Linked DNA regions of Macaca fascicularis. The protein of the gene in region 1 interacts with the protein of each later gene in a pairwise test. Links are inferred from orthologs where the notes say so. Each region holds a gene or a part of one and is shown on either strand. Other genes may lie near its edges.

Region 1 (3,500 bases):
CCTTTGGGTTGGGGGGCGGCCAGCTGGACACATGCATGATGTCTCAGGGAGGCAGCCCTTTCCCTGTGCCTGTGGCTGATGCGCATCCTACTCCTCCATCTGCAGACTCCCGCCGCTGCAAGAAGACTTTCCGCCAGTGCAGCAATGGGCGCTGTGTGTCCAACATGCTGTGGTGCAACGGGGCCGACGACTGTGGGGATGGTTCTGATGAGATCCCCTGCAACAGTAAGTGAGGCGCACTGGCATAACCCATCTGTACCTCAGTTCCTGCCCCACCCTTCCCTGGCCGAGCTTTGTCCCTGGGCCCCATGGTGTCTGGTTTAAGGCACTCTGTGACAGGCCAGGGCAGGTGCTGTGGGCCAGGAGCTCTGTCCTGCGTCCTCCTGGCCCACACAGAGAAAACTCTGGCCTGACGGTACGGGGCGGGCACTGTTCTAGAGACAGCCTGTGGTGTGGGCGAGTTCCGCTGCCGGGACGGGACCTGCATCGGGAACTCCAGCCGCTGCAACCAGTTTGTGGATTGTGAGGATGCCTCAGATGAGATGAACTGCAGTGAGTGACACCCTTTGCTGGCACCTCCTGGGCTCCTCCCCATCGCTCACTGCATCTCCCACCTTCAGGCCCTCCTGCACCTGCCCATATTCCTCTCTGCCTTGCCCTGTCCCCACTGACAGCCTCCATCTCCCTGAGGCCCTGTCCCCATCCCGCTCCTGCTCCTGGGCTCTCATGGGGTTCCGAGAGGGGGTAGTGAGCGGATGGTGCAGACAGTGCCCCACTGGAAGGGCACTGTTCAACTTTTGGAAAAGCATGAAGGCACCGTAGGGCTGGCAACTGCCCCAGTGGGGGGTGATCGGGGGGAACCAGGAATCACCCTCACCCCTGCCCCCACCAGGTGCCACTGACTGCAGCAGCTACTTCCGCCTGGGCGTGAAGGGCGTGCTCTTCCAGCCCTGTGAGCGGACCTCGCTCTGCTACGCACCCAGCTGGGTGTGTGACGGCGCCAACGACTGCGGGGACTACAGTGATGAGCGCGACTGCCCAGGTGGGCAGGGGCAGGTGTGTGGTGGGCGGTGGCCTGCGGTGAGCACGGCCTTCACACCTGCCTCGCCCCCCAGGTGTGAAACGCCCCAGATGCCCCCTGAATTACTTCGCCTGCCCTAGTGGGCGCTGCATCCCCATGAGCTGGACGTGTGACAAGGAGGATGACTGTGAACACGGCGAGGACGAGACCCACTGCAGTGAGTGACCACAGCACCCACTCAGTGCTCCAAGAACCTGCTGGGCCCCACTTCTTAGTCCCCCCTTGGAAAAGGGCACCCAGGGCCTTCACCCCCTGCCCCACTCTGCCTCTAGCTGCTGCTGAGCCCCCCCACAGACGGTTGCTGTGGGCATTTCTCCTGTCCTTCCCATGGCATCAGCCTCTCCAGGTGGGTGACCCCCGCCCTTCCACATCTAACTGTGGCTTCCGACTGCCCCAGACAAGTTCTGCTCAGAGGCCCAGTTTGAGTGCCAGAACCATCGCTGCATCTCCAAGCAGTGGCTGTGTGACGGCAGCGATGACTGTGGGGACGGCTCGGACGAGGCTGCTCACTGTGGTGAGGAAGCTGGGATTGGGCTGGGGGAGGTGCCCCAGGGAGAGACAGACTCCACCCAATTCCACCCCACACACAGACACCCCTGCAGACAATGGCGAAGCAGCGAGTGCGTCACCTCTGCTGCTGGCCCTCATCCACCCCCTCCTGAGTCTCTCGATGGCCCCCTCTCCCCCCACAGAAGGCAAGACGTGCGGCCCCTCCTCCTTCTCCTGCCCTGGCACCCACGTGTGCGTCCCCGAGCGCTGGCTCTGTGACGGTGACAAAGACTGTGCTGATGGTGCAGACGAGAGCATCGCAGCTGGTTGCTGTGAGTGGCGGGGCCGTGTGGACCGGGTGGACAGCAAATGACCCCAGTCTCACTTTGCAGATGGGGAAGCTGGGGTGCAGGAGAGGAAATGCCTCAGCGGGGTCTGCTGGGGTGGAGCCATAGCTGTAGTCCAGGTGTCCAGACTCCTCATCAAGTGCCCCGCCCACTCTACCAGGAGAACCACAGGAGGTCAGGGTGGGGGACGGTCAGCTGCTGGCCGAGCAGGGCTGAAGAGCTGTGTCCACCTCTGTCCACAGTGTACAACAGCACCTGCGACGACCGTGAGTTCATGTGCCAGAACCGCCAGTGCATCCCCAAGCACTTCGTGTGCGACCATGACCGTGACTGTGCAGATGGCTCCGATGAGTCCCCCGAGTGTGGTGAGCCCTCGGCGGTGGCGGGAGGAGGCCCTGCCCTCCGCTGGGCCAGGGCGTCAGCCTCACAGGTCCCTTCCTCCCCCAGAGTACCCGACCTGCGGCCCCAGTGAGTTCCGCTGTGCCAATGGGCGCTGTCTGAGCTCCCGCCAGTGGGAGTGTGATGGCGAGAATGACTGCCACGACCAGAGTGACGAGGCTCCCAAGAACCCACACTGCACCAGCCCAGGTGGGCCCCAGACCTGGCTTCCCTCTGCCCCCTCCCCAGACTGCCTGAGACCCTGCTGACCTGCTGTCTCCGCCCCTCTGCAGAGCACAAGTGCAATGCCTCGTCTCAGTTCCTGTGCAGCAGCGGGCGCTGTGTGGCTGAGGTACTGCTCTGCAATGGCCAGGATGACTGTGGTGACGGCTCGGATGAGCGTGGCTGCCACATCAACGAGTGTCTCAGCCACAAGCTCAGTGGCTGCAGCCAGGACTGTGAGGACCTCAAGATTGGCTTCAAGGTATGCCCAGCCCTGGGGAGGAGCTTCCACACCCCAGACGTGCCAGGAACGCCTTTTTCCACTGCCTCATTCATTCATTCATCCCCTAGACACTGGGGATACAGCAGTGAATGAGATGGAAATCTGCTTGGTTGGGGTCTGCCTCTATCTGGCAGGTAGAGAGCCAGCAGATTTGCTGACAGATGATATACGGAGTGTGAGAGGAAAAGAGGAGTGAGGCGTCAAGTAGGCAAGAGATACACAGATCTGGAGTTCAAGGAGAGGCCCAGGTTGGAGAGGGAAGTCTGGGAGTTATCACCATAGAGATGCTATTTGGATCTATGAATCTGGATATGATTCCCAAGGGAGCAGTGTAGGTGGAGAAGAGAGCAGTCCAAAGTCTGAGCCCCAAGCTGAGCAACAGCCAGGAGCAGGGAGGTGAGGGGACCAGCAGAAGAGCCTGAGAAGGAGCAGCTGCTGAGGCAGGAGAACAGCCATGAGAAGAAAGCGTTTCCAGGGGGAGGGCACACGCAGCTCTGTCAAATGGCACTCGGGGGCGCACAGAAGGAGGCCTGGACTGCGAAGGCCAGACAGCCAGCTGGGTGGACTTAGTACCGATGTGCTGCTGCCCCTAATGAGGCCGGGTAGAAGGAATTGGAGTCTCTGAGCCAGGTCTCCAGGGTGGGAGGCCCAGACCCTGCCACACGCCCAGCCCAAGGCTCCCTGTGCCTGCAGTGCCGCT
Region 2 (3,500 bases), on another chromosome or scaffold:
AGGAAGGCGGAGGTGGGCTCTGCAGGGTCTGGGGGCCTCTGCACTGGGGTCAGGTAGATCTCCTCAGTGGCCTCTAGTCGCACATCGGCCTGGTAGTGGATTCGGTCTCGATGCGAGTGGCCCCGACCCCCAGGCGGGGCAGCAGGGGGACCCCCCGGAGGTGCCATCTGGGTGGCTGTGCTGCGGCGGCAAGGGCTGTCGGTGGAGGTGCCCCGGTCTGTGGTGGGGGCGGGGCTGCTCTGGGGGGGCAGCTCATCGCTCAGGCAGATGTGTTCATGTGGCGGCGTCTGCTCCCCTGGAGAGCAGGCAGGTCATGAAGGCAGGGGTTCTCTCCCAACTCCCAGCTGCCTGCACCCGCCACTCTCAGCTTGGTGACACAGAAACCAAGACAAAGCCTCTCTGGGGCCAGTCAACTCCCTCACGCTACCACTGATCTCACCCCCTGGATGGGCTTGTGCAGGGATGTGGGTGGACAGTTTACCTCTACTCAGCCCTTTGGAGACTGCAGGGTTTGCTCTCTGCAGTGGGGACTGAGTCAGGGCAGGCGGAGGTCCAGGTAAGGAAAAGGGCCCTGACTTACCTGTCTTCAGGGGTGAGGATGATCGAGACACCCGATCCTGCCAACTGTGCTTTTTGCCCAGAGAATTATTATTCAGTGTGTCCTGTGCGGGGAACAAAAGGCTCTTGTGATGGAAGTGGTCAACAGTGCCCGGCACAGGGAGGCCCCGGCCCTGCCCCCTCAGGCCATCCCTAGGGCCGTTTGCTGTGTTCACCCCGCCTCCACTGTCAAAGGCCTCACTCCCAACTCTCCTCTGGAGCAGGCAGGAAGGGTGGCAAGTCACAGCCAGGCTTGCTGGCTCCGGATGGCCTTCCGCCTTGCTCAGGGAAGCTGGTCAACCCTCAGGGAGATGCTCTTATCACCCTTAACAAAGGTGGTGATGGTCAATGTGTGTGGTGGCAAGAGGGGTAGGAGGTGGGGGAGAAGAGAAGCAGGAGCTCTCTGGAGACACAGTCAGATACCCAGTCCCAGACACTGAGGGTTACTTGGAAAATGCTCAAATCCAGCCCAAGTCAGAGACAGGTGATTCTCTGCTCTGGAGCTTGGGAAGTTATGGCCTAGAAGGGGTGGGAACCTTCTGGTAGAGCCTGGAAAAAGCACAAGGAAGGGTCTCCCCAGCAGCTGGCCTGGGGGACAGGGATGAATCATCCCAGTGACAAATCCATAACAGAGTTTTCCTGCACCCCGCACCACAGTGGCACGTGACTGAGGACTGACAGATGCAGTTGTCAGCAGCCCTCCTTCCTGGGTATCCCGGGCTGCCCATTCTACATTCTCAGCCCCGGGACCCCTCCCCACAATGCCCACACAGGGCTCCCTCCACTCCACGGAGGCTCCCTCCCCTGGGAGCTCTCTCCCAAGCCCTCACGTTCCTGAGCCAGGCTGCCAAAAGCCATTCACAGGATCCTGGGAAAGGGACCAAGCCTTTCCCTGCAGCCCCAGCAGCCCCACCTCCCAGGAGCTCCTTCCCTGCACTTCTCCTGATGAGCCTGGAAGACAAAGGGCCACAGCCGGCTCCCCCAACCCTATTCAACTCTCCTTGGCATCCAGCCACCCTCCCAGGGGCCCTAGGCCCCCAACTTAGCCAAGTAGCTCCATCCCCCATTCCTCTCCCCTGCCTTCCGGGAATCCCCAGCTGCCCAGATCTCAAACGGCCTGTGGCCCCTGAGCTCCCCATCCCCACCTCGCCACAATCTCCCATGGCCTCCCCGACGATGACCACTTCGGATGCCCTTTTCTCCAGGCCCCGCTTCTACCCCGCTTTCATCAGGAACCCCATACCCTAAAGGAGAAACCCTGCCACAGCCTGCGGTCCCACGCTCCAAACCCTTCGAACCCCTCAGAGCGTCATTCTCTTAATTCCCTACTCCTCTACAAACCCCAGTCCTTTCCTCCTTCAATCCCGCCTCAAGGCTCCAAGCCCGGCCAGCTGGACTTAGCCCTCTTCCTAAGGATGGTTCTGCCCGCTGCTCGGATCCCACCCCCGGGAGCAAGCCACTGCGGCCTCTATGCAGGCGCTGTCCCCAGACACTGGACCCGTGGGTGTCCCCTTCCGCTGCAGCCCCTCTGCGCTCCCCCTCACATCTCCGCGGCGGCCCAGGGCGCCGCCCCCCGCGTTGGCACCTCACCTGAGACCGCGGCACCTGCGGGAAGAGGTTGAGCGTGGTGGGCCGCTTGGGCCGGTACGTGTCCCCGCTGCCCGGGCCCTGGCCCTGGCCTTGGCTCTGGCCCTGGCCGCGGGACGCCGGCTCCTGGCCGGACTCGGCCTTGGGCGGCCCCGCTCCCGACGTCGTCCTCCTCGCGCGCTCCTCGTCGTCGTCCTCCTCGTCGTCCTCGGCCCCGGGAGTGTCCCCCGCCGCGTCGATCAGGTCCATCTGCAGCATCTCCGCCTGCAACCGGCTCCCCGCGCCGCCGCCGCCCGCAGAGAGCAGCCCGGCGCACGGGGGCTGCGTGGCGCACGGAGGGGCGTCAGGGGGCGGGGCCGGGGCGGGGCCGAGGCCGCTTGCACCGCCCCCCTCCCGGGCGAGTCCATTCTGCTGCGCGAAGGGGGCACGAGGCGAGCGGAGCAGGGGCCGCTGGAGACTGGGGCGCTCTCGCCCGCCGGCCGCTAGGAAGCGCGAGGCCGCCGCCTCCCGGCTCCAGCCGTGCCTCTGACTGCCTGCACCTCCCCACAGTCCCCACCCCGGACTCCTTGCGCCCTCCCGTTCCCCTGGCAACGGCCGGTGACCTCACTGGGGTTGTAAGCCGAGCCCAGAGTGAAGTCACCGCTGTTGCTATGGGGACTCAGTGGTCGCCAAGGAGTTCGGGGGGGGGGGGGGGGCGGCAAGGGATGGGGGCGGGGGAAATAGTATTTGAAGGCGACTTGAGGAAAACGGGAAAAACTGAGGCTCAGCCAGGCAAGGAACGGCGGAGACCTGAAAGGGATGGGAAGGGGACGCCGAGGGGGAGGGGCGAGCGGGGCCCCCGAACCAAGGCGGTGGAAGCCCCGTCCTAAGCCAGCCGGCCCAGGCCCCTCCAGCCCGAGATCGGCCCTCCACGAGTCTGCCTTGAAGATGCAGAGCCCCATCCTAGCTCCAGTTCTGCCGCCAACTCCCTGGCACCTTGGACAGATCCCCTGACCCTTCAGGCCCCTCATCAGTTGAGTGGGGACAACACTACTGCCTCCCAACCTCCAAGAGAGCTGAGTACTCACTGGAACGTGTGTGAAGCCCGCTGGAGCTTGTCTGAGGCCCCTCAGGGGCACACCTCTGGCCAGTAGTGCCTGGGGGCCCTGCCTAGCTGGGGGGCAACCCTCTCCAAGGCTCTGCTAGTGCAGCTGGGGGAGAGGGCAGGGTGAGAGTCCAGAACAGGTGCCTGACCTTTGAGAAGCTAAGTCAGGGCCCTGAGACCATTCCCCAAATCTAGAGGCCTCTGCCTCTTCCTGGCCTGGCCGGAGAGTGGA

Evidence for each region. The genes of interacting proteins can lie anywhere in the genome.
Region 2: the proteins of LRP1 (region 1) and MAPK8IP1 interact in a two-hybrid assay, tested with the Homo sapiens proteins (2 studies listed by BioGRID). The link is inferred for Macaca fascicularis from reciprocal best matches to the Homo sapiens genes LRP1 and MAPK8IP1.

What each region holds. Positions count from the first base shown.
Region 1 is NC_088385.1:63,995,805-63,999,304, forward strand, and holds part of LRP1 (prolow-density lipoprotein receptor-related protein 1), read left to right. Parts: intron 1-105; coding exon 106-225; intron 226-438; coding exon 439-552; intron 553-892; coding exon 893-1,042; intron 1,043-1,115; coding exon 1,116-1,238; intron 1,239-1,478; coding exon 1,479-1,595; intron 1,596-1,773; coding exon 1,774-1,902; intron 1,903-2,159; coding exon 2,160-2,282; intron 2,283-2,364; coding exon 2,365-2,505; intron 2,506-2,588; coding exon 2,589-2,779; intron 2,780-3,493; coding exon 3,494-3,500. UniProt on the Homo sapiens protein: Endocytic receptor involved in endocytosis and in phagocytosis of apoptotic cells. Required for early embryonic development. Involved in cellular lipid homeostasis.
Region 2 is NC_088388.1:19,960,978-19,964,477, forward strand, and holds part of MAPK8IP1 (C-Jun-amino-terminal kinase-interacting protein 1), read right to left. Parts: intron 2,506-3,500; coding exon 2,188-2,505; intron 663-2,187; coding exon 581-662; intron 296-580; coding exon 1-295. UniProt on the Homo sapiens protein: The JNK-interacting protein (JIP) group of scaffold proteins selectively mediates JNK signaling by aggregating specific components of the MAPK cascade to form a functional JNK signaling module. Required for JNK activation in response to excitotoxic stress.